Oryzias latipes: one gene and its partners. The protein of the gene in region 1 purifies or fractionates together with the protein of each later gene. This does not show direct contact. Links are inferred from orthologs where the notes say so. Each region holds a gene or a part of one and is shown in the gene's direction. Other genes may lie near its edges. The genes, in order: exosc5, dis3l, c1d, exosc10, mphosph6, hbs1l and zfc3h1.

Region 1 (4,681 bases):
GCTGCCATGTTCTCAGTAGCTCTGGCCACAGCGTGAGCCGCTGCCTCCAGCCGGGTGAACTGCTCTGGCTCATGTTCACTGTCGCACAGCAGCACGAGGAGACAAAGGTGACTGGAGATTGGGGCAACCACTTTCTCCACTGCTGCAGTTTTGATAAAACTTTGATCCAGACATGAAGGCATAGTTTCATTTATCGGTGAATTCTTCCCTCTGCGAAAGAATTAGCTGTGCTGCATGTATTATTTATCATGCTACACAAAGTGCCATATGGCAGTTCCCCATAGCAACTGTTGTCACAACGTTATTTAGAATTAATAACATATAAATCATCATTTCTGACATTATTCATTGATTATTGACTGCAGTGGTGGTTCTGCACTAACTTACTCCCAGGGAGAGTAACTCCCCAGTGCAATTTGACGTTCTTTTGTGTTCCCTATTTTTATTTGGCCATTTTACACAAAAGATGCGTGAATTTTGTGGGCTCGTATTACGGGGGTGTCAAACTCACTCACACAGGGGGCCTAAACAGAAAACATGCTTTAAGTTGGGGGCCCAACAACATTTATTTACCAAACTAAAGCTACACTTTAAAAAACAAAACAAAAAATACTTTTAAACCTTTATAACAGAGGTTTTTTAACATAAAAATGAATAAAAACAGACAGTATTGTTAATCCAGAATAAATCAAGTTAAACCGTTAATAACGGTGCTCTCCATAAAAATATATTCAGTCAAAATTATACAAATATGAACATGCTGCAGAACAAAATAAACAAAGTCTGGAAATATTTAATTCAAATTATTCCGTTTTATTTGCTGTTTTGTCAAATTTTTTGTCAGCAAGTAAGTTCATTTCTGCTTGCTGTGTGACGTGCTGTGTGTGTCTTTGTGAAACGTATCAAAGGGATTTGATTTTTTTTTAAACTGCTATTATGAAAACCATTTATAGGTCTTATAAAACATTAAAAACTAAATCATATAACTCCTCACTGGAATTAATCAAAGTTTATTTTGGCATTTTCCTAATTTTGTGCAACACCAACAGTAAAAATTCTCCAAAAAGCCTTAATTCATTCATTAACAAATGATCCATTGTTTATGTCTAATCTCAAAAAGTGCAGCTGTTTTACTGCCTGCATTACCTGCTGTCTTTATGTCAAATACTGACACCAATTAAATGACAGGCATACGTAAAAAATACATTTTATATGGAAAATAAAGACACGTAATAAAAGTGTCCAACAACAACAATAGCAATAATCATAATAATAATAATAATAATGTTAATAATATATTTTTTAAACTACTTACTTTGTTGTTGACTTTCTGACTGTTTTTTATTGAACACAAAATTTAAAACACAACATTGGTTTTGATGCAGAGCCCCTTCGCGTCGGTAAATAGATGACGTCATCGTCCAGCGACGCATCCCCTTCCGTGTTGGCAACGTGATGGAGGTTTCTGCTCCTTCAAATGTTTCTCTCCGAGAGTTTGGCTGCGAGCAGAGTTTACTTTCTCGGCCGGATGGATCTGCGTCTTTCGTTCAAGGTAACAGCTGAAGGAAAATGTTGACTTTTTTCTTTAAGAATATGAGTACAACTCCCGATTCCGCCCAAAGAATTATGGACAAACTTATTATTTCAGAGAAATAATTTGACTCTCGACTGCTGGCAAACGATCTTTAAATGAGTTTTAAGCTAAGAATGTCCTAAAGTACTTTTTGTATTTGCTTTATTTTGGTTTTGCATTAGTTTTAGCTCTTGGTAAATGTTGTAAAATTGTTAATATTCAAGAACAAAAATGAGCAGCTAAATAATAACTAAATATTTTTACGAACTTATCTTTTCACATTTAGTTTTTTGTAATCAAAAGTCAACTGCTGTTAAACCATTAAGAAGCCAAACATTTGAAAAATAATTTCTAGTCATTTTTCTATAAATAAAGATGTTGAAATGTTGGATTCATCTGTTTTACTTTCTGTGTTCAGATCAGCTCTCTCAAATTTAAATATTTATTTCTTGGTTTACTCATCCTCTTTTTTTCATTCCCCAAATCATCTTTGAATATTTGTATCCTAGTGGTCATTGTGAACTGTTTACATCGCCGGCATCGGACTGTATAGTCTGGGGTCTTGGAGCAACATTTTTTCAAAGATTTTCTAATAATTTCCCTATAAAAGTTTTTTTTTGGGGTAATGCTTTAAATTATTTTTTTAATATGACCCCATCTTCTTTTTTATTCTTTTTTTTCAAGATATTGTTTAATATAGTGTATGGGATAGGCTCCAGCAGGCCTGTGACCCTGAAAGAGACAAAACGGGTTTAGAAGATGAATGAATTATATACTATGTAATAATTCTACAGTAAACCTGAAACTGAACCAAAACCACCACTCTAAGCAGCAGATTTGGTCATGCATTTACTGCAAGATTTACACTGTTTTTATGTTTTATAGCCAAGATCAAAGTTTACAGACACAATAAGAATGTAGAAATCACATCATTGTTTCAGGTTTGTCCTCTATTTTAATAGAACTTTGATCTTTGTGTTGTTTTTGTGTCTCTGGAGGGGACACGAGTGTGATGGCTGGAGTTTATGGACCTGCTGAAGTAAAGGTCAGTAAGGAGATCTACGACCGAGCAACTCTGGAGGTGCTGGTTCAGCCCAAAGTTGGTCTGCCGAGTAAGTTCTGCTGCATGTCCTGGAAAAGTCAGATGCTGTCACGTGTGTCTGGTTTTTCTGAAACCAATTCAATCCTTTTTGTTTTTAATCTGTTGTAGAAAAAAAGCAAAAACAACTACTAATCCTTGTTTTTGTTGCTCTAAAATGAATAAATCCAGCTTTAAAGAAGGAAGTCTGTTAAATGTAGAGACAATTATAATCACTTTCAATGGATTCAAATGTTTATATGCAAATATCCTCTTAAGCCTGGTTTCATTCATGTCTTTGGGTTGAATGGAAATCACAGATGCTGTTTTATTTCTACTGAATCACAGTAAAAAGATGAACTTCCTCAGGTCTCATGTGGGTTTTAGTTTCATCTGAAGGCTCACTCGTATCTCAACAGTTCTGCAATTTATAAATAAGCATTAAGACAAAGGTCCGATCAAGGTATTAAAGTCTTTCTTTAGGAATGTTTTGTGCAACTGATTTATAGGATTACGCCATAAGGGGGAGCCAGTGGATTCCTTATCAGCTTTGAACTCATATCCCATCATGCCTCTGTTTTCCAGGTGTGAGGGAGCGCTCGCAGGAGCAGTGTGTGCGTGAAACCTGCGAGGAGGCGCTGCTGCTCACCCTCCACCCTCGATCTTCGCTCACGCTGGTCCTCCAGGTGCTGCACGACGACGGCTCTGTATCCTTTACTAAACCCGACCTCTGAACCCGCGGGGGGCGTGGCCTAGCACCTGCCGAGTCGTCTTCCTTACCTGCTCTGCAGCTCCTGTCCTGCTGCCTGAATGCAGCCTGCATGGCCCTCATGGACGCAGGTCTGCCGATGAGCTGCCTCTTCTGCGGCGTGACCTGCGCCATCAGCGCATACGGGCAGATCATCACTGACCCCACCTCAGCTCAGGAAAAGGTCAACCAAAGATGCTGACACTAACCTGAAAATCTTCATTTTTGCTGCTTTGAATGTAGAAATATAATCAGAAAGCAAGTTTAACAAAAAGTTCTCAATTTATGGTTTAATTTTCATGAAAAAAAGTCACATTTCATAGAATCCCTAAAACATGGATGTCGGTTTTCATCAGATCACACCCCTGACCTAACTTTACTGGTGAAACAAAAATCCAGCTGTGTAGTTTAGATCCAGATTCCAGCTCAGGGGAGGATAAACAAATTTAAAGGCTAATAAAAATTCTAACTTTGCTAAAAAAAAATGGGTTCATTTTCCACCAAAACTATTTTTTTTTTATTTCATAAAAATGCAGTTTTTCTTTAGTGTGTCACCTTCAGTTCATCCTTTTGTCTCAGTGTTTCAGTTCTAAAACAGTTTGCCTTTAAAATTGGTTGTCTGCCCGTCTGGCACTAAAGTCCTATTTTAATTTCTTTTCAAAGGAGAGTCGAGCTTTGATGACTTTTGCCATCGACAGTAAAGAACGTAAAGTAATGATGTCATCCACCAAAGGATCCTTTTCCGTTCATGAGGTCCGTCCAGCCGTTTTTCCATCATCTTCCGCTAAGCTCTCATTTCAATCCTCTCAGATGTTTCTTGTCTTTCTTCTGCTGGTTGCAGCTGCAGCAGTGTGTAGCGGTCAGCCAGAGAGCCTCAGAGAGGATCTTCCAGTTCTACAGAGACTCTGTGAGGCGGCGTTACTCCAAATCCCTCTGATGGAGACACACTTTTGCCCGTTTTGTTCTACATTTTTGTACAACTCCTGATGTAATAAATGTTATCATCCACACCACTGCCTGTCTGGTTTAGTTTTGACAAAACAAAGTGTATGAAGTCACTCACTACTCACTCCACTATATTTGGCGTTTGCTATTTTCTCTGGGTGTCCATCGATTATATATGATATCTGGACTGAGTCTGAGTCTGGACTGCATGGGGGGGGGGGATTAGAATAAGACTTTTATTTCGTCTCACTCACTTTTGGATATGTATTGTTTTTTTTACCTTTTATATTTTCCATTTTTCCTCTAAAGCATATTTGTTTGAAATAAAATATAATCA
Region 2 (4,548 bases), on another chromosome or scaffold:
CCGGGGGTCCAGTGCACGCACGGTCTCCCCAAAAATGAGAACAAATACTTTTGACGAAAGGGAGCAAGCGTTCATCCAGATACCCCACTGGCCCGGAGTGTGATCAAACGAGCAGCAGTGTGACCATAGGAGTGAGAATGCGTGCGTACCGCTGAAGGGCTGGTCCAGTCCTGCGTTCAATAGCCTGCAGATCTTTTTACATTGAAAATGACTCCAGAGACACAGATAGTTTTATTTCTTTTAAAGAACGTATCGCATTTTTTGACCAATGTGTGAAATGTCTAAGAATCTGAATTTAAATGTATTAAAGTGCTCATTTTAACACTAAATGGCTCCAGTGTTGAATTGCTCATGATTTTTTTTAACCATTTGATATTACTGAAATGTACACAGGATCTTTGAACTTCACATACAAAATGGGGATGAGGATTATGTTATTATTTTATCTGATGTAACTATTTATTTCCCCTCGGTTTGATGTACTTGTCTTTATTATTATTATTCATATGTATATTATTAGTACAGTCAGCATACCATAAAAAACAATATAAACTCAAACAAACCATGACTTTGATAAATATTAAGTGTTTTCAATGCTTTCATATGGTTAATATAATATATACTGTATATAGTATATATATATATATTTATATATATATATATATATATATATAAATATATATATATATATATATATATAAATAGTGTGCAAACCTGGGTTTCTGGTTACTGTTTTTACACTTGTGAATGTGATGTTTTTCTATTATGGCCAATAATTTATAATTATAATTTAATTATACTTGTCATTAAGTCTTTATTTTATTTTTTTATTGAACTTCAAACAAACATATACACATAACTACAACAGAAATAAATAAAAAAAGAATAATATACAAAATAAAATAAAACTAAAGAAACAAAATAAAAATTGTAGTTTACAATACTAGTGATTGTCATAAAACATGTGATCTTCAATGAAAATAGACAATTTTATTCCATTTTTGTTTTTTATTAATTTCAGAGATTGAAAATATAAACTGATCTCTTTATGAAATGTATTGAATAATGGTTTGATTTTTGAAAATCTGCTCTTATGAATGAAAAATGTCCCAGATATTAATAAGGTATTGAATGTCAAATCAAATAGATTATCACCAGAAACAATCCAAATAATATCTGCTTTTGTAATTGAATAGAAATAGGAAAAGGAAAATTTGAGGAACCAAGAAAAAAAATCCTCCCAAAAACTGTAAACGTATGAATACAAAGAACAGATGATCAAGTGATTCTATATTTATGTCACAGAGAGAACAGTTATTCTCTGGTAAACCAAAACATGTATGTAATAATTCCTTGCATGGATAGACTGCATTCAGTATTTTAAAATGGATTTCTTTGTATTTTGGAAAAATGGGATATTTAATAAACTGAGATCTTAACTTGATTATTTCTTCTTTTGTGTAAAGCTGTGACATAGAATGATTTTTGTAAGATGTTGGAAACAAACAAAGATCCTATAAATGAGTTTGGAAGTTTTAAATGAACCGGTCGACCATCAAACAACAGAGACGGAAGCTGAACTTGAACATTTGGACCAAAGTCGGAAGCTTTGATCACAATGTGGTGTGGCGGTTTATAAAGTCATTCTTGCCGTTTTGCGAGTCTGTTTTTCTTGAGACTTGAACGCAGTTGTGACCTGACGTCATCACGACGACAGGCGGGACTACGTCATGTGACGTGTACTTCCGGTCCGTCAATGAAGCTCTGGCTAACAGGAGCGGCTCTCTGCAGTTCAGGATGATAAAGACGGAGAGGATTCTACATCTGAGGAGGTTCCGCGGGAGGAAGGTTCGAGTGGTTCGGGAGCATTACCTCAGAGAGCGGGTCCCCTGTTTCAGCTCCCTATGCCAGGCGGACTGTGCTAACGGTAGTCCTCCGAACCGAACACGAGCGCCAAACCCAAACACGAACACACACCGAACTCAACACGAGCACCGAACCCAAACACGAACACACACCGAACCCAAACACGAACACCGAACCCGAACCCAACACGAGCACCGAACCCAAACAAGAGCGCCGAACCCAAACACGAACAGACGCACCGAACTCAACACGAGCACCGAACCCAAACACGAACACACACCGAACCCAAACACGAACACCGAACCCGAACCCAACACGAGCACCGAACCCAAACAAGAGCGCCGAACCCAAACACGAACACACACCGAACTCAACACGAGCACCGAACCCAACACGAGCGCCAAACACGAACACACACCGAACTCAACACGAGCACCGAACCCAAACACGAACACCGAACCCAACACGAGCACCGAACCCAACACGAACACCGAACCCAACACGAGCACCGAACCCAAACAAGAGCGCCAAACCCGAACACGAACAGACACACCGAACCCGAGCCTGCTAGTCCGTCTCTGTCAGTGATCGATCCCGCTGAGTAAAAGTTGGCGGGCTCGGAGAAGCTGCCATGACACTGACGATACTTTCAAATAACTGCGGTGAAGTTAGTGTCAGGTTGGATATTCGACAGACGTTCAGCGCGGAGCTCCAGTGGGGTCTCTAAGGGACCGTCAACAAATGAACAAGGCCATGAGATGGAGAAGATTTTAGATCAAACCCAAAACTAAATGCTTTGCAAAGATAAATAAATTACTATAAGACATCTTCTCATGTTGTGTCTAAATAATCTATTTCTTTTGCAACGTTTTAATGGGAAATGTTTTTTCAATCAAAGATGCTCAATATTTGATAAATTCCAGAGGTTTGCATATGTAAGCTGGTCATTTCTTTCAATAGCTCCCAAACCGCCTGACCCAAAGATATAAAACCTATTCCAAATTGTTGTACTGACATTCCAACATCAGACACACCTCTTTCTTTTGTAATCAAAGATGTTATATATTTTTTATGAATTTTTATATAAAAATTCCAGAGGTTTGCATATGAAAGCTGGTCATCTTTTTCAATAGCTCCCAAACCAACTGACCCAAAGATAATTCATATAAAACATATAACATCTTTGATTACAAAACAAAAAGGTGTGTGTCTGATGTTGGAATGTCAGTACAACAATTCGACATTGGTTTTATATCTTTGGGTCAGGCGGTTTGGGAGCTATTGAAGAAACGATTAGATTTTAGATGTGAACAGCTGTAATTTTAAAACAAAAAGTAATGTAAGATTTGTGTCATCTTTAATTCCTAAACAAATTGGCGTTTGATGTCAGAAGAACAATTTGGCAGAGGTTTCATGTTTTTGGGTGATGTGGTTTGGAAGCTATTGAAAAAACTCAACAGAATTTGCGAAATGCAGGAATTTTTGTAAAAATATTTAATAGAATTTCTTTATAAAATGTGTGTATGTTGTATGTTGGAGCCATATTTTTTTTATATATTTGCAATCATAACATCACACAGTTAGGAAGCAATAAAAAAAATCTTTCCTTCAAACAGTTTTCTTATAAAATATTGAGCATCTATGATTGCAAAATTTTTCCCATTAAAAAGTTGCAAAAGAAATAGATTAAGACACAAAATGAGAAAAGGTTTATAGTAATTTATTTATTTTTATTTTTGCAAAGTTAAATTCCTCTCCATCTCATGCAGTCGTTAATTTGTTGACGGTCCCTAAGAGTCCACACTGGACAACCCGCTGAATGTCTGTCGAATATCCAACAACTAACTTCACCGCAGTGGTACTTTAATACATTTGAAACAAATGTATAAAATGTTAATTTATTTAAAGGTTGATGTTATTCGCACGTAAAGTTCAGCACTGGACATATTTCGAAAGTTACGTGTGAACGGACACGTTCTTATTTCAAATAGGAGTAATTTCAACAAATAGTACGCTTTTAATTTTTTGCATGAAAAGTTTTTGACAGAAGATCATCTTTCTATGAAAATAAAACAGAAACGTTCTTCTCAACGAAACAGGTGTCAAAGTTCTGCCTGGAGACTTGACCCACTATGTGATGCCGGACGCAGACGTGGTGGTCGACTACCTGGAGATCCTGGAGCTCAAGGAGCTGCAGGGCATCATCTTCACCCAGACCGCCTGCCAGGCGCTGCACAGCAAGGGCCGCAGGTACAAGCAGGCTACGGGACGCTAGCTACGCCCTTCAGAACGCTAGATACATCCTTTAGGACACTAGCTACACCCTTCAGAACGCTAGATACACCCTTCAGGACGCTAGATACACCCTTCAGGATGCTAGCTACACCCTTCAGGACGCTAGATACACCCTTCAGGATGCTAGATACATCCTTTAGGACGCCAGCTACACCCTCCATAATGCTAGCTACACCCTTCAGGACGCTAGATACACCCTTCAGGATGCTAGCTACACCCTTCAGGACGCTAGATACACCCTCCAGGATGCTAGCTACACCCTTCAGGATGCTAGCTACACCCTTCAGGACGCTAGATACACCCTTCAGGACGCTATATACACCCTTCAGGACGCTAGCTACACCCTTCAGGATGCTAGCTACACCCTTCAGGACGCTAGCTACACCC
Region 3 (4,047 bases), about 15 Mb from region 1:
CCAGCAACAGAACTAAACTTTTTTCTACGGTGTCCCGTAAGGGTATAAAATACAGACATTCTACTGAATGATCTACAAGCCCTGAAGATCAACTTTCCTGCTCTTCCCTGCTGGTGTAGAGACATGAGAGCTGACTAACCAGAAACACTGAAACGATGTGAAGCAAACATGTGGTCTGTTCTGAACTCCTCTGACCTGTGAAATGCTGCCACCTGCTGGACAGACTCAGCCCTGCACCTGCTCTGCTTTCCTCTCCTCTGTTAGGTCAACAAACAAATATACGAAGTCTCAATGTGTCTTTTTTCTTTCAACTTCAATCCGTCCAGGGTTAACGGCTGAAGAGGCTGAGAAGATTGACCAAAACCTTTAATTGCCACAACCCATAAAAACATCTGCAGCTGATCTAACAAATGCATGTTTCTTACAAATTTGGCTCCATTTGAAAGGAAAGCAGGCTTTAAATGGCCTATACTTGTATAGCGCTTTTCTACCTTCCTCAAAGGCCAAAAGGGCTTTACAGTCACACCGCCATTCACACACACATTCACACACTGGTGAATTTGGTTGTCTTTTTTTTACACTGGTGAACTCCGCTGCCAAACACTGACACCAACCTTTTCACCACAGCCAAGGTGGGCTTCAGTGTCTGGCTCAAGGACACTTCAACGCACGGTGGGAATCTAGACTGCAATCTCCCAATTGGAGGTCGACCGCCTTACCACAGCACCACGGACGCCCCTAAAGGGCTGAACTAAACGATGTATTCCCCAGAAGCATTGTTACTATACAGAATCTACCAAACAGAAAATGTTTTTCTGACATTACTTCATCTTAAATGAGACTGTGATGATATTTTTGCCTATTATGATCCATATTTGTAATCTAGTTTTTGTAGATATAAAAATAAGTTTATGAAATGACAGAATATGAACAATTTACAGTGATCAAACATGCAGAAAGCAGTCAGGTCTTGTCCTTTTAATCATGCTAATAAAGCAGAGGATGTTCCTGAAATTCCCTTAATCCTATTTAAAACACAAATGTCTACAAACTGATTTTATTACATACATGATAGTCATTATAACAAAGAATTACAGCTTGTAAATATAGTGATAAGAAAAGCATTAAAACCTTAGATTAAAAGTTTCAGACGAAATAATGTTTAGGATAAAAAGGCAAAACCAAACTGCTTTGTCTCAAACTAAAGAGAGTGTCAGGTTTTCAGATTGATTTGAAATAGATACAATGGACAGTTATAAATGTAGTTTTTAAGAAAAAAGGAATTTTCTTTTAGTTTTTTTTACAACGGATTTATTCAAAAGTTACATGTTATATTCAAATGCTGGGTGGAGGCAATCAACGTTGACTCACTGGCTTAGTCTTTTTCAGTCCTCCAGACGACAGGGGGCAGTAATGCATAAACAGGAAGAACCTCACCGCCACCAGTCAGAACTTCCGGTTTGGCGTTTGGAGCACGCGGATGCTAAAGGTAAATACATCTGTTATTAACTTCTAAATAGCGCAGTTTACACTGAAACTGTGGTTTCTAATCTTTTACTGGTTTCCAAATTTTACTTAATAATCGCAAAGTTGGTGGAGTAATGTTTCCGCCTCTGAACTGATGCTCCAAATATAACAAAATGTCAGACTCACATAATCATTTGCCGGTTTCATTCTGCTGATGTGACTTTTATGATGATCCCGTCGGACGTTTCTGTTCCAGGACGATGGCGTCTACGGAGGAGGAATACCCGTATGAGATCGACGAGCAGCTGCGGAGCTTCGACTCCTCCGTGACTGCGGTGAAATCCATGTTGGACAAACTGATGTCGATGTCCAGAAACGAGCTGCTCGTGAAGGTAACGTGGATCCAGACGCAATAAATGTCCTAACAGCTTCTGTTTCTGTCAGGGAAAGGTGTGGGAAGGCCAGAGAGTCCAGCTCAGCCACTCAGTCCAACTCTCCCTATAGTCTTTTTGGCAAGCCAAGTCTGAATGTGACATAAAGCTGGTGTTTGTCACTGTTTGTTAAATTGTATTAAGTGCTGTTTGTGTGACACAGCTGGATCCTTTGGACCAGGCCAAACTGGACCTGATGTCTGCGTACACCCTAAACTCGTTGTTCTGGGGTAAGTTCTGGAGTCTACTCCAATCAAAGTTTGTTGGGATTTTGTGTTTTGTTTTTTGGATCAAGTAAAATTCTGTTTAAAGTGTCATTTTTGAGGATTTCTTTTTATTAAAATCGTTGTTAGTCAGGATGCAGTTTTAAAAAAAGATCATTTTGTGATGAAAAAAAATTCTGCTGGGCGGCCACAAACTCCCTGCTCTGGTCTGGTAGCAACAGAGAGAGGAAGGGGGCGGGGTTAAGTCCCACCCACAACTCAGGTGAATTTCTACTGCTTCTCTGCACAAACTATGTCTTGGAAAACCACGCAGGTTTTTGGATTTACGCTTCTTACTATGATCATAGTAAGAAGACCACTGGGAACGCTTTTACAATAGATCAAAAGATGATCGAGTGGGGCTTTGAAGTCGTGTTTTGCTGCAGTGTTGTCTCCTCGTTTCTGTCTACAGTGTATTTGGTGACTCGAGGAATAAACCCCAGAGAACACGGCATCAAACAGGAACTGGTTTGTGCTTCCTGATTTTTTTTTTCCTGCTTTTTCTCTGAAGTCTCATTCATTTCAGTCTCATTCATTTCTAGTTGATCTGGATTTTGCGTTTTTGTTCTGCAGGAGCGAATCCGGGCGTACATGAACCGAGTCAAGGAGATTACAGACAAGAAGAAGGCGGCGCGCCTGGATAAGGGCGCCGCCTCCCGCTTCATCAGGAGCGCCCTTTACGAGCCGGACGACAAAGACTCCGGGAAAAAGAACGAGTCTAAAAAACAAGCAGATTCCACAGCCGCAGAGCCGCCTCCAAAACGACAGAAACAGAGGAAGTGAAGGAGGAAGTGTGTGCTCCCATGGCAGCACGCCATCCACACAGAGGAGATGAAGAGTTCCTGAGTGACAGCAGCTCACCTGCTGTTGGTGGAAGGAATCCTCTGAAATCATTTTGGACACAAACAGGAGGATTCCATGAATCTCACTGTTTTACGTTAGTGTTGAGTTACACTTTCACTCACCTTTGTTTGTCTTTTTTTTTTTTTTATAAGACAAGCTGATTATTTTTTTTCCTTTCATTTGTTTATATATTTTATCACAAAATGTGTCCACATGGAAAAAACAGCTGCTTTTATGTTTTTAAGGAACTAAAGCCTTTTGTGGTTGAACATACTTTAGTTTAATAACTATGTATGAAAAAATGACCCGAGTTGACAAATGAAAACTACAAATACAAATAAATCGGGTTTGATTAACAGAAACAACTTTTCAGTTGTCCAAGAAGATAAATGTTTTTTTTACATGATATAACACAATGAGAATTTAAAATGCAAATTTTTTTATTTAATATTTTTAATATTGAAGTCTAAATAGTAAAGTGTATTTTTCATATTCCAAGCTTGAATAACATATTGAATTGTCAATTGAGAATTGGATGTTACTTTGAAAAAACTTCCATTATATGAAAAATGCCAATAATCAGAAACATGTGTTCAAAAGGCTTTTTAAAAAAGTGGCATTCACAGAACACGAATCTTGATGAGTAAATATCCCAAATTCTTTTCCTTTTTTGAATCGTTTTTTTTACATTTTTGTAAATTTCAAAAATAATTTTTAAAACACTTGCTTCCGAGGTCAAATATGCCAACGCTTCTAACGTGGCTGACGTGTAGCGTGCTACAAAGTAGTTACTGTGAACGCAGTTAAAGTCTGACGGAAGTGTGGATTCATCTCTGATTCTTCTGTCTCGCCTAACATGCCTGATTGTTCAGTGCGCCTTACATTTGACATGATTTCAAAGATGGACCATTCATAGATGGGCCGCCTTGTAGTGTGGAAAATGCAAACACTACAAAGGAAGAGAGCCAATGTGAAGCAAAATTATGCTTGAAAAGTAAAATGTTTTATTAGGTCATTACTGGGTTTTGAATGAGAATAATTAA
Region 4 (4,710 bases), on another chromosome or scaffold:
ACAAAAGCAAACCACAAAAAAATAAAATCACTGCAAAAAAGAACAAAGTTTAAGTTTTAATCTCGGGAATAAAAAAAATCGGAGATAGAAATCATAGAAGTCTCAGGACAAGGTCAATGAAACACTCATCTGTATCTGTATCCCCACTATGTAAACGTCGTGACATGGGAGACAGAACTATCTCTATAAGGGATGATTATTGGGAAAACATTTGGCGATGAGCCAACGATATTTCAGTTTATAACAGAATTTGATCTTCAATCAAATAACATTTTCTAAAATATTGAGGAAAAAAATCAGAATTCTGGGATTAAATTGAGAAGTCTGAGGAAAAAATCAGAATTCTGGGATTGAAAACAGAATTTGATGAAATAAAAGTTGGAAGACACACCTGAATAACAAAAACCTGAAACGTCTCATCACCTTTTTTTAAATGACCCTAATTCTATTCCGTAACTATAAGTAAGGGATAATTGCTGAGGAAGTGGGCATTGTCAGAAATTAAAGCATGCCTGAAGTCTTCGCATTGGAAGGTTCAGGCTTCCACGGCGTGTGTTCATTTCAAATAATGCAAACTTCGAATACAATTTTCCCGCTTCTACCATGACTACAGCGGTTAAGTAAAGCGATATTCATGCTGATCATCACAATGGGTATAGCATCAGTTCAGAGAGAAAGTTCACATCTTATCGCTTGTTTTTGTCCAGATGATGAAACAAAAGTTTGTTTTAAAGAAGCATTGATATAGAACATTTATGCTATGTGACCAGAACTTCTTTTTAGGTGTGCATTATCCCTGTGGATTGTCCCATTTAAATGAAACAGCCAATCAGAATCGAGTATTGGTATACTTTTTATTTTAAAGTCCCACTCAGAGAACATTTTAAACTATTTGAAAGCGTTCACAATTAGAAACGCTTTTCTTAAATTTTGGGCAAAACCAGAAAACCTCTGTCGTTTTCACGTAGTTTCAACAGAGCAGCAGAAGTTCATCCGGATATGTAAGTTGGAGTGTTGGTGCAGAGTCTTCTTCCTCTTTTGGCTTTTCCCATCAGGGGTCAGCAACCGGGCTTGGGACCGGCACAGAAGTAGAGAAGGGAACAGGGAGAAGCCCGGAGTTGAACCCTGATTTCACGGAAGGAAGTGTTGGTGCAGAGTAAGCGATAAAAATGGCGAGCAATATCGAAGCTATACAGCCTTACAGTTTTGAGCCAGCTCGGACAAGGAAAACATGGCTATTTGTTTGCAATTGGGTGCATCGGAATGGAGCAGAGCGTGGAGCTCATGGTCTCCAGTGTGACAATGATGTCCCTGCTACAGGCTGTTTCCAAAAGTGTTTGTCTTCAATCGTGACAAAAATGCTTCAAGAACATGCTAAATACACCAAAAACACAATTTTCCGTGGAGTGAGTCTTTAAATCAGTGAGAAAAAGAAATGGTACAAAAAGGCTGTTTTTCCACTCCTTGTCGTCAGGTGTCGCTGTGGCGCTTTCGGTGCCCTGGTAAGACTGCAGAAGAAAGAATTGCGGAAAGGGACTGCTTTCGTGGTCACGCATGTCCACACGACAAAATAAACCATGTCCCTGTCTAAAAGTAAAGATGACTCGAACCGAGAAGTTTTGGACAGCAACTCGGACACAAACGAGGAGGATAAAAATGAGCTATGTCCCGGTTTTAAAGACGTTGACGCCTTCGTTAAAGTAAGGGAACAACAGCAAATGCTAAAGTTTTTAGCTGAGGCTCAGGCTAAGGCTCTTCCAACGTGGTTGATTAAATTGTTGATGAATCAATGACATATATATTTTTGAGTAGATGTGTGTAATACTTATATTGCTTATAACAAGACTGCATTTCACGTTTATTGAAGTTGTGGGTTTCTATATATGCGAGTGCAAGAAATTAACTGAAAGTTGAGTGATTCTAGATGAATTATGCACTTTAATGGTAACTTCACAAATAAATAAATAAAATAAGAGGCTTATTAGGTATTTAAATTCGGTTATTTTCCTCAATTTATTTTGGTGTGATCCTAAACGTTCTTCGTGTTTCTTCGTTACAAACGGTCCCTTAACTGCTAACAGCACAGCTTCCCTCTCCTCTGCAGCATGGATTTGGTGTGGTGTTATCAGCCACCAAAGCATCTGCAGGTTTACCTCAGCCTGGAGATGAATTTGATTTCTATCGAAGCTTCCCAGGCTTCCAGGAGTTTTGTGAAAGTCAAGGAGATCAGATTTTGCAGTGGTAAGTTTTTTTTTTCTCCCCAAAAAAAGTTTATGGTAAACCGGAGACCTCCATATTCACGCTTCAGACCTACCAACTGATGATATGTTTTGTCTTGTCAGCATGAGTCAGATTATGCAGCACCATGGCTGCAGATCTCACGTCAAAGACCGGAACAAGCTGACAGCTGTGGAGGAGAGGTTTGACTTGGTCGTAGACTCCAACGATGTCATCCTTGAAAGAGCGGTACGACCAGCAACCCCAGAATGAAGCAGTTTGCTAAATGAAATGGGTTTTTACAAACGAGGCCTTCACATCGTTCTGCTGTGCAGGGGATTCTTCTTGATGAAGCTGACGGGGTGAACCGGAATCAGAAGCCAGTTATGCCTGCTGGGTTCCAGCCTCCCAAAATTGTTGTTTCCAGCTGGAACCGCAAGGTAAAATAAGTCTCCTCTCTTGTCCTGCTGGGCTCTAATGTCTGCTTTGACCACATTCAGACGAAAAAAAGTGTCAGATTTGGAATTCAGTATCTTCAGTGCTAAAGATGCTTGAAGAGGGTTGACAACCATTCACCACAAAGGGTTGGATTTTCTCAAACGATGCCTCTGTGAACCAGGGTTCCGGCTCCAGCAGTCAATCCGAGACGTTCCGACTTCTCCATGCCAAGAATATAGCTCGGCCTCAACTGAAATTCAAGGAAAAGATAGATAACAGCAACACACCTTTTGTGCCCAAGATCTTCATCAAGCCCAATGCAGTAAAGCCTCTTCCATCCTGTAAGAAACACGTTTGTCAGCTTAGATTCACATCTTCCCCTGTGACTTGTAATAATCAATCTTCCAGCACATGTACATTAATTCACTGCTTCTTTTCCATGTAGATTTTACCAACAAGCAAATACGCAATGAAAGACCAGAGGATCTTGATGTTCCTGCCGCCCTGGCCGACTTAATTCACCAGCAGAGAACTCAGGAACATGTTGAAGACATGTAAGCTTTGTTATCTGAGCAGTGTTGTTTTGTACTGTAAGATTTCTTGCCCTCTATCTGAAGTTTCTGTCCACACAGGTTTTCACACCCATACCAGTATGAACTGGACCATCTCACTGTTCCAGACAGCCTTCTGTCCAAACCAGAGCCTCAAGTAAAAATTATCACATTTCTATAATAACCTGAGTTGGCCTCTTGTCTCACAGGTTTTCTGCCTTTTCTTTATAGATGTACAAACCTATAGCTGAGACAAAGTTATCCTTTATCGACTCTCTGGAGGATCTCGTGGAGCTGAATGAGAAGCTGTGTAAACTGTCTGAATTTGCAGTGGATCTTGAGGTAGAGGATCAGAGTTTAGGACGTCCTCCCTTAGACTGGGGGTCTGCAACCTATCAATCCTTTCTTCTCTTTTTGCTCTGAAGTCAAATTCTAACACTTTAAATAAAGAATGGGTTTGTAGTTTTGGTTCATTAAACTTTGTCATTTAGGCTTAGATTTTTAACATAGTGGAGGAATAATAAGGATAAAAGGTCTGATTGGTTGACCTCTGATCGGAAGATTCCGGTTTTGATTTCCATGTCGAAGTGACCTTTAGCCTCTATAACAGAAAACACTGTTATAATTTATAATTGTAAATATTTAAAAGCTATGTTTAATAAATGAATGGCTTAATGGCCACAAAAACAAAACTAAAGTTTATTTTTCAACTCTATGAAGTGCATCTCTTCCTGGGTTTTGTCAGGAAGAACCTGGACTAAATGGATCTGTTTGTGTTAAAGGTTGCAGGCCCCTGCCTTAGACCGTAACTGTTTGAAATGTCAGCATTTTAACAATGACAGTCTTTTTAATGAACACTTTGTTTTCCATCTCAGCATCATTCCTACAGGAGTTTTCTGGGCCTCACCTGTCTGATGCAGATCTCCACCAGAGATGAGGACTTCATAATTGACACGCTGGAGCTCCGCAGTGAGATGTACATCCTGAATGAAGCATTCACTGACCCGACTATTGTGAAGGTACAGTTACCTCTGTGTTTTTGCTCTGAGTATCTTTAAAAATAACAGCTGAAGTAAAGGATTAAATAACATTTGTTGAAGCCAGATTACTCACTATTATAAATTGGTATCTTTAGATCACTATTTATGCCATGTTATTATTTATTTTTTTATTAAAGAGAAAGGACAAAGCACAACTTTGTCACACATGAATATATATCGCATAAATAAAATCGTTTTTTATTTCTTTTATTTTTTTAAATGAAGTTTACCCAGGAAATCCAACCAGCAGCATTACTTTGATTTGGAGTCATTTGATGCAGAGAACTTACTGACTTTCTTTCTCAAAACAATAAAGATTTTTAATCGTTTAATGCTTGTTTTATTAACGTGTATCAACAAATTCTCAATGGATGTTTCCCTCGATAAAGATGACTTCAACCAAGGGTTAAAACATTTTTTATAAAAATCAGCAGAATGGAAACATTTAATAAACAAACATAGAT
Region 5 (4,811 bases), on another chromosome or scaffold:
ATGCCAAATATTTTTGGAGTAATCCCACTGATGAGTTCTAAGATTTAGTCTTTTATGTTTTATAAGACATAAACATATTAATCACAATACTTTTTTTTTTAGATCTAATCCCTCTGATATGTTTCACAAAGACTCACTCAGGACGTCACACATTAAGAAATTATTGCTAAAAATGAAGCAGGAGTCCAGCTTAAAAAAATGCTCTAAAAAATGATGAAAGAGCAAAAAAAAAACCGGAAATATTTGAATTGTAATTTCTTATTAATATTTCCAGGCTTTCTTTGTTTTATTCTGCAGCATGTTCATATTTGTATAATTTTGACAGAATATATTTCTATGGAGAGCTAAATATTACAAGTTATTTAGGGTTTAAGTTAACTTGTGTTCCTGTTTTTATGCATATTTATGTTAAAAAAGTTCAGTTTAAAAGGTTTAAAAGTTTAGCTTTAGTGTGTTCAGTAAATGTTTATCTTCTTCGGCCAAAAACCTTAAGCGTGTTTGACTGAGTTTGACCCCCCTGTAATACGAGTCTAGAAAATGCATGCATTTTTTATGTAAAATTGCTAAAAAGAAGATAGGTAACACAACAGGATGTTGTCAAATTTTGTATGTGTGCGGGGGGGGGGGGGGCGCCTGTGGGGTTACTCGCCCAGGGAGTAAGTTAGTGTAGAACCGCCACTGCATTAGCATGATACAAACTTTCCATGTCTTTTACCCTGCAGTTCATCATCATTCCACTAGGGGCAGCAGAATGGCTTTTACTGTATTGCTTATTGCAAAATGGCCGCCTCTGTGACATATCCATAACACGTTTGGCAGGGAAGTTTAGCAAATGTTTATGGTGAAAATAACCCATCTATTGTTATTCATTTTCAAACGCTGGCGAGGCTCGCCTCCCTGGAAGCTTTTTCTCCGCCCTTACAGTCATCGCTCTGACCGTACTCTCTGTTACAACTGAGTCCTGCAGTCAGACATGACGCGAAGCGCTCCAGAGCCTCACCCGGAGTTTCTGCTCCCTATGTGAGCGCACAACAGTCAAATTCTGCAAATTTAACCTCAGAAACTGTGGGAAATGTGTCGAGTCAACTGAAAATGTGTCTTTAATACGGATCAGAGGAAAATCATATTTACTTAGTGTACGTTTTTCTATTTTATCACATTGACCAGTGAGGCCGAGCTTCACTTGCCTCATCTGATCACATGTCACTGTTGAAGTTGACATTTTTTGTACCACCTCTATGCTTTATTGTAAACTTAAGATGTTCCAAATAAGTCTGACGAAGGATACAGTTAGCATACTTCCTACACTACTAGGCCTATAGTAGATTTGCTCAATGCATATACAAGTATCTTACTAAAATAAACTTCAAGTGTACTATGGTACTTTTAACTAAAGGTTTTCTAGAGTTCCACGTCTCTCTTTTTAAGTCAAAACAGAAAAAAATAAAAATAAATTATTGACCTGTGTTTTATCTTTCGTCTTATGATATGACATGCTTATCTTTTAAATTAATTTTCAATTATGTTTTTACAAAATGTAGGCTACTTCGGTACAATCAGCGATTGTTGTAAAGCGACTTACAAATAAAGTTTTTGGAATGTTTGCCACGTGACCCGTTGGGTTTTGTTGACTGTCGTGTTTATTACTGTTTATCTATAATGTGTTGTGTTTATTTTGTTGTAAACTACACATCAAACGCATTTCCGTTGATTCACCTGTTCTTTAGCTTGCACTTCACTGTTCTGTGATCAAAAATTACCTGTAGGATAAATACATAACTTAAGGAAAAGCCTCGATTCCTCGGTGCTTGATTAATCAGGCCTGCCTGAATTGCGCATGCTCGACTTTTGACAACATGTCTTTTCCGGCGCGTGGGGCGTTTGTTCTGCTGCAGTAACCAAACCAACGACGTCCTACGGTTAGGTTGAATCAGTTAAGGTTAGTTTAGCGCGGATAGTCTGTTTGTGTTAACCGGAGAAAGATGGCTGCCGACGGAGTGAAACTCTCCAAGAATCTGCTGCGCATGAAGGTACATGCTAGCACCATTAGCTAGCTGCGGCGCGAGCCGCTAGCGTCGATTCATTTTGTTGGCTCCAGAGTGAGAGAAATGGACCAGAACTGATGTTCGTGTCCATAATTCTGCCTCTTGTTCTTCATCCTTCGGCAGGGGCCTGTCTTATCTCCATTCAAGGATCTTTCTGGTTGAATTTGTCAGAGCTGGGCATAGTTTGGGGCTTGACTGTTTTGGTTGGTCTGCTTTCGACTGAAAGGTGGTCATAACTAGTTAATAGGTTAAGAATGACGAACCACAGGTGGGTTAGATTTAGTTTGGTGCTCGGTTTCACATAGTTGCATTGTAAACCTTTAAGACACGTGATCACCTGGGTGGACTGACTCTCGTGAGGTATACTGTACTGCAGATGAGAGCGTGCACGTAGGCGTATGCATGAAAGTGTCATCTGTGGCTGCAGTTCATGCAGAGAGGGCTGGATGCAGAGACGAAGAAGCAGCTGGAGGAAGACGAGAGGAGGATCATCAGCGACGAGCATTGGTATCTGGACCTGCCCGAGCTCTGCACCAAAGAGTACGTGTCTGTGCTCGTGCACGCCTCGCCTGCAGTGGTGTGAACACCTGTAGGTGTGGATGATGGTGACCTCTGCTCCTTCATCAGGACTGTGCTGGTGGAGGAGGAGAGCTTCACTCCCTGTGAGGACTTGCAGTTTGGCCGGATCTCCTTCAGAGGCTTTAACCCAGAGGTTGAGGTGAGGTTCAACCTACAACCGTGTGCGTGCGCACGTGCGTGTGCATGCGCACGTGCGTGTGCATGTGTGCTCTGACCTGTCAGTTGTCCTCACAGAAACTGATGACCTTGTTGAATCCAAAAGATGAAGATGAAGAGGAGAAGGATGTGAGCTGCATGCAGACAGACATCACAGATGAGGAGATGGCTCTGAGGTACACTTCCTCTTCCTCCTGTCCTCCTCAGATGTTATTTGATAGGGTTGCTCTTTGCTCAACAGATCGGTTCCAGTTCTGGATCCAGAGCCTGACTGGTGCCAGGACTGGAACCGGGTCTAAAACGTCGACCCGCTTCATGTCGATCATATAAGCTTTGGGGGCGTGGCTACACAGCCGCAGGAAGAGAATGGAATCTGCTCTGTAGTGGTCTAAACTCTACTCCATCCTCGGGTAGTTAAGCTGATGATAAAGAACTCATTTGGCTCAATCCATCAAACACTTCATTTGTGGAGCGTCTTTCTTCAACGTGCTTAGAACACAAGGTGTTTGACATAAAAAACAAACAGGTTGAAATTATAAAAAGTCATAAAACCAGCAACAATCAAGAGGTGAACATAAGATGGTAGAAAACTGTGGCTACTAGTTATTGTTGAGAAGGCGCTCTATAAAGAGAGTAATAAAAGTACAAACGATTAACAATATAAGCCATGAAATACTTTAGACCCAAATAAATAATTGAATTAAATGAAGACGTTTTTGAGAATTTACATGAACATTTACAGTGAAACTCTCCACAGATGCAGAAACTCTCAGATCTTCAGGTTCCACAGATGAGGACCACGGTACTGAAATGAGGCCTCAATGTGGGTCCTGGTCCTCAGTTTTTCGTTTAGATAAGAGAGCAGAACCTGAGGATCTGAGAGTTGTGGAGGTTTTGGAAGGACCTAGATCTGATAAATAGGAAGGTCCCAATCCAAAAAGACATTTATAAACTAGAAGGAGAATCTTCAAATCATCCAGAGGCTGACAGGAAGCCAGGAGGGATGTGAGCTCTGAATTCTGGACGAGCTGGAATCTATTCATAGATTAAAAGAGCATCACAAAAGTCCCGTCTAGATATGATAAAAGGCAACATTGTTAAAGGAATACAAGCAGTCTTAGTTGTGTTTGATATGTGGATTTTAAAGTTAAGATCTTCCTACATTTATACCAGAGTTTTGAAGTGAGTGTGGCTTCAGGCCCAAGGATCAGTTTCTGTTTGGTCCTTGTTGAGTTTGAGAAAATTAGCTGTCGTCCATTCTATGACATCACTAATATATTTAAGAGGTTTGTCAATGGGATGTAGGCCACACTGGGAGAAGCTGTGGAAGTCTACATCCTAACGTCATGAAGTGTAGCTTAGTGACGTTACCCAGTGGGAGCCTCTACAAGTGAACCCTTTAACACTGGAGATGTTGCCAGTCACATCTAAATAACAGATTCTTTCAACTACCGTTACTCTTCAACCGTTTACGGCTTTTCACTGATATGCCAAACATTTTGCAAAGTGTTGAATATTCTGTTGATTTCTAAAATAGTTATTTTTACATTACAATTAAGTAATTCATCTTTGTCATGTGCTTTACTGATATTTCAAGATTCTTAATTCTGTCTGATAAAAGCTAGAAACCGGATATTGATAAATCATGTAATAAAATGGTTATGGTATAACGGGGTGGGATTATGTAAGTTCGCTTTCTTTCTCTCCCTTTCTAGCAATATTTATTAATATGCCTCATTATCCTAAGTTTGATTAGTTGTTGTATGAATGTATAACTGATTCAATGATTGTATTGCTTTTGTGTGTTATTTCGAATTAATTGCTTGAAATAAACCATTAAAAAAAAAAAAAAATCTAATAGTCAGCTGATTTAACCCTTGTGCTATCTTAGATGACCCCACCCTTACATTGACGTGTTCTCCCTACCATGACAAAGGTGGATAAAGGTGGAAAGATTTCATGTAATCCATGGACACCAGTGAAGATCACAAATCATTGAAGAAAAAAGGTTCAGAGCACTGTCTAGTGGGT
Region 6 (4,088 bases), on another chromosome or scaffold:
TTCAAGACGTTTTTGTTTAAAACTGGGCTTGATCTATGTTTGTAAGTTTGATGCACTTAAAAAAAAAAGAATTTGTGATAGCGTGATGTATATGAATTGCATGACTTTACATGAGAAAAAATGCCTCATCATAAAGTAATGATCTGTCTGACTTGGATTTCTGTGTCACTGGGTTCTAAGGGACTTTTTTCTTTTTTCAGAAGAGTCATTTAGAAAATACTTGGTTAGCGAAAGTTCATTAATATTCTGGTGAATCAGACTTTTTAGTCTCATTTTCTCTTAGGGTACTTTTTAAAATGAGGTATTAAATGATGCTTTTCACCTATAACCCAAAAGTCATGGAAAATAATATGAGATAAAGATACTTTATTAATCCCATCTTGGGAAATTCGGCTGTTGCAGCAACCGTGTACAGGCTCAACGACAAACAAACAAACAAACAAGCAATGAGTGACAATCAGGGAAGCAACAGTCAGATAACAGATTTTAGAAAACAAACATGAAATGAGTTTATCTACTCAACTCATCTTTATTTATATAGCACTTTCAGTCAACAGCAGCCGACACAAAGTGCTGAACACGAGAAAAGAAGAAAACAAACACTAAAACATCTTAAAACACAAGATTAAAAATAGAGAGATAAAACAATAAAAAACAGTACAGCAACACAGCAATAACAGAAGTCTCATGTTGTATTAAAAGCCAGAGCATAAAAATGGGTTTTCAAGCGTGTTTTAAAAATGGACAGTGATGGAGCTTCTCTATGGCAAAAGGTATAAAATTCAATGGCGTGAGGTAGGAATGATATCCTGTACCGGTTGGTGTGACATTGAAGCTGCCTTAGCCTCTTGGAAAAGGCGCTCCGCTGACCGTCAAGTACAGGATGGAAAAGATGCTCAGGATTATCCATGATGGATAATAGTCCTCCTTTCCATCACAGCTTCTCCCCCCCTGAACAGAGCGCTGGCCACAACAGACTGGTAGAAAATTTCAAGCTCCTTGATGCACATATTGAAGGACCTTGGTTTCCTCTGGAAAAAGAGTCTTCCAGCTCAGCCTGTTGTCAATGGTTACTCACCGGTACTTGTACTCCTCTACCTCTGCCACATCCCTGCCCAAGATGCCGAGAAGATGGTTGTTTCTTTGTGAAGTCAATCACCATCTCATTGGTCTTTTCCACATTGAGCAGCAGGTGATTTCTCCAGCCCACCTCACAAATTCATCCACAAGTTCCCTGTACTCCTCCTCCTGCCCACCATTTATGCAGCTGACAACCGCAGAGTCATCAGGGAACTTCTGGAGATGACATGACTCTGAATTGTACTGAAAGTCACTGGTGCACAATGTGAACTGGAAGGAGAGAGCACAGTGCCTTGTGGTACTCCCACACTTCTCATCACCACATCAGACATGACACGGCCCAACCGGACAAACTATGGCCTGTCCCACAAGTAATCAGTGATGCAGGAGACCAAGAACCCATCGACACCCATCAGTTGCAGCTTCTCACCCAGTAACCAGGGCTGAATGGTGTTGAACGCACTGGAGAAATCAAAGAATGTGACTCTCACAGTGTCTCCCCCGCCATCCAGGTGTGAGTGAGCACGCTGCAGCAGATAAATAACAGCATCCTCCACCCCCAGGTGTGGCCAGTTGGCAAACTGAAGTGGGTCTATAGATGGTTTCACCAGAGGTCTCAGGTGGGCCAACAAAATCCTCACCGGCACCTTTGCCGCATGAGGCGTGAGGGCAACAGGACAATAATCACTTGGGCCAGAGGGAGCAGTCTTCTTGGGGACAGGAACCAGACATGCGGTTCTCCAGGCAGCCGGCACTCTGATCAGACTGAGGCTCAGATTAAAGAGGCGCTGGAAAACTCCGGATAGCTGAGCGGCGCAGGACTTTAGTATCCTGGTGCTGATGCTGTCCGGGCCAGGAGTCTTTCGTTGGTCAATTCTTTCCAGCTGTCTCCTGATCTGGCAGGTCGTCCTAGTCAATGAGGGGGCTGGATAGGAGCAAGGTGGGGCAGGGCCTTTAGGTCACTTGTAATCCATGGCTTGTTATTGGGGTAACAGTAGACAGTCCTCGAGGGCATGATGGTGTCTTCACAGAATTGAATGTCTTCAGTGATAGTCAGTCATGCTGTTGATGTCCTCACAATGAGGCAGACAGAAAGCATCCCAGTCTGTGCACTCAAGGCAGTCCTGCAGGGTCTCCTCAGCCTCTCGAGTCCACTTCTTCACCTTCCTTTTGGACAGAGGCCTTCTCCTGACCATAGGAACATACTTAGGAGAGAGCAGAACATGGTTATGGTCTGACCTCCCAAGAGGGGAAAGGGCTGTGGTTCTGTACGCTCCCTGTGGATTAGCATACAGCAAATCAAGGTTTTTTTTTCATGGGTGGGGCAGTCCACTTTCTGTGTAAATTCAGAAAGAGTCCTGTCCAAATCAACGTGGTTAAAGTCCCCAGTGATTAATACAAATGCATTTGGTTGATGTTCCTGTAGCCGGGAAATGATGTTGCTGATGACGTCAGTAACGGCGTCTGCATCAGCTGATGGGGGAAGATAAACTCCCGGGGCAGAAAATAAGGCCACAGTCCGACCGCCAAGAGCTCAACGTTCGGGCTACAGAGGCGCGAACCAACAAGATAAAATGTTATTTTTCTAACTTTAACCAACTAATTTAGGTCAAGATGGCATGATTGTGGAATCTGTCCTTTTTAACACCAGTAAAAAAAAAAAAATTATTAAAAAAAACGTTTTTGAGCTCAGTCTTTTGCCTTCATTTGCATCAACAGTTTGATCAGATGTGAGGACACTGTAAAAAAATGCACAGTCACTTCCAGCCCAGCACTTGCTGAGGTAACACCTTCTCAGAAGATTCATTTGAGAAACACTGCATCATGCTGATCTATTTCTGTGGAGATGGGAGGCAACGGCCACTTCTGAAATTAACCCTTTCTGAGCCAGGATGCCAGATGCAAACAGACACGTACACTGACGCACAAAATGTGCACTAGGCTTGGTTGTGTAGCCCAGCCTAAATGAATCAGGAGCGGATCGATATGACTGGGATTGGTGGCCATTTAGGACTGCAATGACGAGGCGATGACCTCAACAAGTCTCTGCTGCAGAATATGGACTTCCTCAACCAAGATATGTGCAACAGATTGCATTCTGCATTTTCACTCGACTCGTGTATGCGTGTCACATCATTATTTGATTGCAGCTACTGAAATTCTTATCATTTTTATCAGCCTTTACAACCAGAGATGTTGACTTGCGAGAACGATGAGTAGGTGTTTGCTGTTACTCATTGCTGTTTGTAAAAGGGGTAAAAACAGTTTTCTGTTTTACAGTGGCATTATGAGAGAAAGAAACACATTACTTTGTTCATTAGAGATTCAAAGCCGCTCCATTGATCATACTTCATTAAAAAAAACTAGAAAGAGTGAATTTTTAAAAATTGGATCATGTAATTGGGTTTTCAGAACAAGAGGGAACATCAGGCTTTTCTAAACATCATAGATCAGACCAGTTTGTGATCATGATACTTTAAAATTATACTTTAGTTTGGAACTGTTGTCATTTTTCTCCTAGCCAAAGGCAGAGATGTGTCTCAGTACCATTTGGACTCTGAGGTGGTTCCTAAAGTGGCCCGGATGACTGTCTCTGGCAAGAAGCAGACCATGGGCTTTGAGGTCCCCAGGTATCTAAACTTACGTCCCCTCTTTAATTATGTACTTATGGTTACCGATAGAAAAACCTGAACTTTGCAAAATTGTAGCTCATATACTAATCTTCTTGATATGAAACATCTGACTGTATATGAGAGCTGGACTGAGTAACTGTAATGTCACGCGTAGAAAACAGCTTAGTTGCGGCTACAAGGAAATTAAGTCAATTCAGTCACCATTTTTCGCAATACGGACGCCGCCATTTTGGAGTCCGATGTTGTAAGTAAGCAGTGATTTGTCGGAATCGGTCTGACTCATCATTTCTTTGGTAACCACTCTTGCCAATCAGAAGTAAGCTTGTTGGAAATCCAAACCTCTACTACTTGAAAGCAGGCTCAGGAGAAACTGTC
Region 7 (3,615 bases), on another chromosome or scaffold:
GATTTCAGTATTCATAGGTGGAGTTGTGACTGTATAGTATTCATAGATGGAGTTGTGACTGTAGTGTATTTATAGGTGGAGTTGTGACTATAGAGTATTCATAGGTGGAGTTGTGACTGTAGTGTATTTATAGGTGGAGTTGTGACTATAGAGTATTCATAGGTGGAGTTGCGACTATATGGTATTCATAGGTGGAGTTTTGATTACAGTATTCATAGGTGGAGTTGTGACTATAGAGTATTCATAGGTGGAGTTGTGACTATAGAGTATTCATAGGTGGAGTTGTGACTGTAGAGTATTCATAGGTGGAGTTGTGATTACAGTTTTCATAGGTGGAGTTGTGACTGTATAGTATTCATAGATGGAGTTCTGACTGTAGTGTATTTATAGGTGGAGTTGTGACTATAGAGTATTCATAGGTGGAGTTGTGACTGTAGTGTATTTATAGTTGGAGGTGTGACTATAGAGTATTCATAGGTGGAGTTGCGACTATATGGTATTCATAGGTGGAGTTGCGACTATATGGTATTCATAGGTGGAGTTTTGATTACAGTATTCATAGGTGGAGTTGTGACTGTATAGTATTCATAGATGGAGTTGTGACTGTAGTGTATTTATAGGTGGAGTTGTGACTATAGAGTATTCATAGGTGGAGTTGTGACTATAGAGTATTCATAGGTGGAGTTGTGACTATAGAGTATTCATAGGTGGAGTTGTGATTACAGTATTCATAGGTGGAGTTGTGACTGTATAGTATTCATAAATGGAGTTGTGACTGTAGAGTATTCATAGGTGGAGTTGTGACTGTAGAGTATTCATAGGTGGAGTTGTGACTGTAGAGTATTCATAGGTGGAGTTGTGACTGTAGAGCAGGGGTGTTAAACTCATTTTTGTTCGGGGGCCACATTTAACCCGTCTGATCTCAAGTGGGCCGGACCAGTAACATAAAAGCAAACTAACAGCTTTGTTTTAGTTTTTTACTCAGTTGGAAAAAATGCCTCAACCAACATAGTAGCCTAATCACTTAGGGCCCATGGATCCCAAATAAAAGTAATTTCAATTAAAGAAAAGTTGGTCTATTCAAATTAATACAGACTGAATATTTTACATCTGTCACTGAAGCAATCCAGAAACATTTCTTTATGGTAAGTCTCTTAGTGGTGCTGAATGTTATATTCTTTGAACACTGCGATGTTGATGACATACAAAGCATTTGGGTTTTGCATTCATCTTCATGAAAGAAAAAAAACTGTCCATTTTTCCTGGAAGGCTCTTCACTCCACTTCACGTTTGAAAACATTTTGGTCATTAGGGTGTTGCTACTGATCATCCTTATAGCAAGATAACAGCGGTAAGGCTCATATGGAACCAAAGTGCATCCTACCCAGACGCAGAGCTGTTATGTTTCGCTTTTGGCACGTGCAGAGATGCTGTTTCAACTGTTTTTCCTTTCCTTTGCTCCCCCTAGTGGCGGAATTGCACATTTCGGTTATTTCTTTAAAAAAGCATAACTCGCCACAGGAATGGACTAGAAACTCGCTTTCTTTTTTAAACATCCTTATGATTTTTACTCTTCATGTGTGGGCCGTAGTAAATCACCTGGCGGGCCGGATAAGGCCACCAGGCCGTATGTTTGACACCCCTGCTGTAGAGTATTCATAGGTGGAGTTGTGACTGAAACGCAGCATTTGGTTTTTGTAAATAAACGATTTTATTTGCTCACATTAATGAGGATGCTTCATAAGTATTGTCCTACATTTTCACCTAAACTTTCTTTTTTCACAAATGTTGGGCCCCCCTTACAATGTAGGAGCAGCCCCCCCCCTTCTGTGTAATTACTGAGTAACCACAGGTGTGAGTGTGAGCACCCCCATATTTTTCACTACGTGCTCCCTTTTCATCAAACCTCCCCTTCTTCACCTACCCCACCTCGTTTTTCCTCTGTATTCCCTTCTGACCACCTCCGTCTCTGTCTCCTCCCAGCGGTTGCTGTACGAGGCAGCAGAGGGTGGAGCTTCGCAGCGCCTGCAGCGGCTGGTGGACCGCTGCCGGCTAACGGGGGTCAGCGTGAGTCTGGGGGGAGTCGGCCCATTGCTGGCTGATGATGTGTGATGGAACTGAACTGATCAGCTGTCAGTGAGGGATGAGGTAAGGCCGACACCCCCGCCTCCTCTTTCCCACCCCCTCCAGCGGTGGGCGGAGCTGCAGAGTCTGTAAGTATCGACTGCTGAGTGACGCCTTTGCTCTTCATCACCTTCTTTTAGTTGCTCTCCCCTTTCAGTTGGATTCATTTCTCCCCTTTTATCTCACTCACCTGAGGGGGGTGGGGCAGGGGAGGGTTAACCTGACATGTCTGATTGAAGGGATGAACCCCACCTTTTGTTTTTTTTGAGTTGGAAAACCTGGACTTTTGTTTAAACTGATCAAAGAGGCAATCAGGTCCCTGATCTGCTGAAAAGGGGGCGTGGCCGCCCACCTGTGCAGTGTTTTCTGATTGGATGAATGAGTGTAAGAGACTAATGATGCTACGGACGCCGCCAAGCGCCGCTGGACTCAGCCAGACTACGGTACCCTTGCTACCTGCTGGGGTTGTCACAGAGCAAAGGACACATCTGTGCGTCTGTTTTGTACTTGTTGTTTTCAGATGTCATTAAATTATTTTCTACAAACTTGGACACGCCTCTGATCGTTTTTAATCTTTTCTAGGTCACATCAGATAGGAAGTAGGGTCAGCCGAATGGACGTTTCTCACTGCAAAGGTCTTGAAGTTGAGTTGTGGCATCTGGACTTGGTCGTCTTTTTTAAAATGTTTCATCGCTCATCCAAGAAGCTTCAAAGAAAGAAAGAAGAGTTGAAGTCCAGATGTCATGACTCAATGTCAAGACACCACTGCCTGGATAAGTAAGATCCTTCAACATCTGGTCTGAAGACTTGAAGGAATAATGGGAGATCCAGAGGAATGTGACCAGAGGACTCTATTGTGACCACAGACTGACCTTTGACCTCTGCGACGCGGACTACAGAAAGCGGGTGATGAGAATTTGCCTGCTGTCACAACACCATACAGTATGATGGTGGTGGATAAAAGTCAGCTTTGCCAAGCTTGGGACCTCATGTGCACCCCCAAGACCTCTTTTGCCCCCCGCAGGGCCTCAATGACTACATGACAATTCTTGCTGGTAAAAGGAAAACAACTCATCACCTCCAACACACAAGTTTCAAATCTGCGAACAATCGGATCACAATTCAAACAGGGAAAAATTTTTTAGAGTATATTAAAAAAAATATAAATAAAATAGGAATGCTTTTATGCAGTATATACATAAATACATACTATAGTTCATTCAAACCGTAGATCACTACAAAAAAATATTTAATAACTTAAACAAGTATTTATTATCGCTTTTTATTTTTTTACACTTTTGTGATTTGCATATCAAAGTCCTCCAATGGATCAGGTGACCTTCTAGTTCTTTATGTCCCCTTAAAGTCCCGTCCTCTGTTGTCCATCTGTCAGCAGAGGACAGGAATACCTCACATCCACTGATGTGAAATCAGGTGATGCAACAGCAAAATCCTGTTTGTGGACACTAAATAGCTGGATGAACATTAACA

What was found.
Region 2: the proteins of exosc5 (region 1) and dis3l purify together in Homo sapiens (affinity purification with mass spectrometry; 5 studies listed by BioGRID and IntAct, with this or other methods). This does not show direct contact. The link is inferred for Oryzias latipes from reciprocal best matches to the Homo sapiens genes EXOSC5 and DIS3L.
Region 3: the proteins of exosc5 (region 1) and c1d purify together in Homo sapiens (affinity purification with mass spectrometry; 4 studies listed by BioGRID and IntAct, counting the BioPlex papers as one, with this or other methods). This does not show direct contact. The link is inferred for Oryzias latipes from reciprocal best matches to the Homo sapiens genes EXOSC5 and C1D.
Region 4: the proteins of exosc5 (region 1) and exosc10 purify together in Homo sapiens (co-immunoprecipitation; 8 studies listed by BioGRID and IntAct, with this or other methods). This does not show direct contact. The link is inferred for Oryzias latipes from reciprocal best matches to the Homo sapiens genes EXOSC5 and EXOSC10.
Region 5: the proteins of exosc5 (region 1) and mphosph6 purify together in Homo sapiens (affinity purification with mass spectrometry; 6 studies listed by BioGRID and IntAct, with this or other methods). This does not show direct contact. The link is inferred for Oryzias latipes from reciprocal best matches to the Homo sapiens genes EXOSC5 and MPHOSPH6.
Region 6: the proteins of exosc5 (region 1) and hbs1l purify together in Homo sapiens (affinity purification with mass spectrometry; 3 studies listed by BioGRID and IntAct, with this or other methods). This does not show direct contact. The link is inferred for Oryzias latipes from reciprocal best matches to the Homo sapiens genes EXOSC5 and HBS1L.
Region 7: the proteins of exosc5 (region 1) and zfc3h1 purify together in Homo sapiens (affinity purification with mass spectrometry; 3 studies listed by BioGRID and IntAct, with this or other methods). This does not show direct contact. The link is inferred for Oryzias latipes from reciprocal best matches to the Homo sapiens genes EXOSC5 and ZFC3H1.

Annotation. Positions count from the first base shown.
Region 1 is NC_019873.2:26,312,326-26,317,006, reverse strand, and holds exosc5 (exosome complex component RRP46), read left to right. Parts: upstream 1-1,409; 5' UTR 1,410-1,455; coding exon 1,456-1,552; intron 1,553-2,571; coding exon 2,572-2,685; intron 2,686-3,236; coding exon 3,237-3,358; intron 3,359-3,442; coding exon 3,443-3,583; intron 3,584-4,062; coding exon 4,063-4,152; intron 4,153-4,240; coding exon 4,241-4,336; 3' UTR 4,337-4,412; downstream 4,413-4,681. Other genes in the region: catenin alpha-1-like, read right to left, coding at 1-182. UniProt on the Homo sapiens protein: Non-catalytic component of the RNA exosome complex which has 3'->5' exoribonuclease activity and participates in a multitude of cellular RNA processing and degradation events.
Region 2 is NC_019861.2:569,708-574,255, forward strand, and holds the start of dis3l (DIS3-like exonuclease 1), read left to right. Parts: upstream 1-1,509; 5' UTR 1,510-1,797; coding exon 1,798-1,927; intron 1,928-3,965; coding exon 3,966-4,116; intron 4,117-4,548. UniProt on the Homo sapiens protein: Catalytic component of the RNA exosome complex which has 3'->5' exoribonuclease activity and participates in a multitude of cellular RNA processing and degradation events.
Region 3 is NC_019873.2:11,213,085-11,217,131, forward strand, and holds c1d (nuclear nucleic acid-binding protein C1D), read left to right. Parts: upstream 1-1,384; 5' UTR 1,385-1,489; intron 1,490-1,723; 5' UTR 1,724-1,727; coding exon 1,728-1,859; intron 1,860-2,061; coding exon 2,062-2,128; intron 2,129-2,573; coding exon 2,574-2,629; intron 2,630-2,734; coding exon 2,735-2,944; 3' UTR 2,945-3,149; downstream 3,150-4,047. UniProt on the Homo sapiens protein: Plays a role in the recruitment of the RNA exosome complex to pre-rRNA to mediate the 3'-5' end processing of the 5.8S rRNA; this function may include MPHOSPH6.
Region 4 is NC_019865.2:9,465,473-9,470,182, forward strand, and holds the start of exosc10 (exosome component 10), read left to right. Parts: upstream 1-1,483; 5' UTR 1,484-1,577; coding exon 1,578-1,700; intron 1,701-2,104; coding exon 2,105-2,241; intron 2,242-2,342; coding exon 2,343-2,466; intron 2,467-2,552; coding exon 2,553-2,657; intron 2,658-2,836; coding exon 2,837-2,996; intron 2,997-3,100; coding exon 3,101-3,209; intron 3,210-3,287; coding exon 3,288-3,363; intron 3,364-3,437; coding exon 3,438-3,548; intron 3,549-4,081; coding exon 4,082-4,225; intron 4,226-4,710. UniProt on the Homo sapiens protein: Catalytic component of the RNA exosome complex which has 3'->5' exoribonuclease activity and participates in a multitude of cellular RNA processing and degradation events.
Region 5 is NC_019864.2:5,684,656-5,689,466, forward strand, and holds the start of mphosph6 (M-phase phosphoprotein 6), read left to right. Parts: upstream 1-1,797; 5' UTR 1,798-1,982; coding exon 1,983-2,030; intron 2,031-2,071; exon of another isoform or gene 2,072-2,313; intron 2,314-2,421; exon of another isoform or gene 2,422-2,472; coding exon 2,473-2,585; intron 2,586-2,672; coding exon 2,673-2,763; intron 2,764-2,858; coding exon 2,859-2,956; intron 2,957-4,811. UniProt on the Homo sapiens protein: RNA-binding protein that associates with the RNA exosome complex. Involved in the 3'-processing of the 7S pre-RNA to the mature 5.8S rRNA and play a role in recruiting the RNA exosome complex to pre-rRNA; this function may include C1D.
Region 6 is NC_019882.2:14,283,440-14,287,527, reverse strand, and holds part of hbs1l (HBS1-like protein), read left to right. Parts: intron 1-3,601; coding exon 3,602-3,710; intron 3,711-4,088. UniProt on the Homo sapiens protein: GTPase component of the Pelota-HBS1L complex, a complex that recognizes stalled ribosomes and triggers the No-Go Decay (NGD) pathway.
Region 7 is NC_019864.2:5,620,856-5,624,470, forward strand, and holds the end of zfc3h1 (zinc finger C3H1 domain-containing protein), read left to right. Parts: intron 1-1,983; coding exon 1,984-2,112; 3' UTR 2,113-2,675; downstream 2,676-3,615. UniProt on the Homo sapiens protein: Subunit of the trimeric poly(A) tail exosome targeting (PAXT) complex, a complex that directs a subset of long and polyadenylated poly(A) RNAs for exosomal degradation. The RNA exosome is fundamental for the degradation of RNA in eukaryotic nuclei.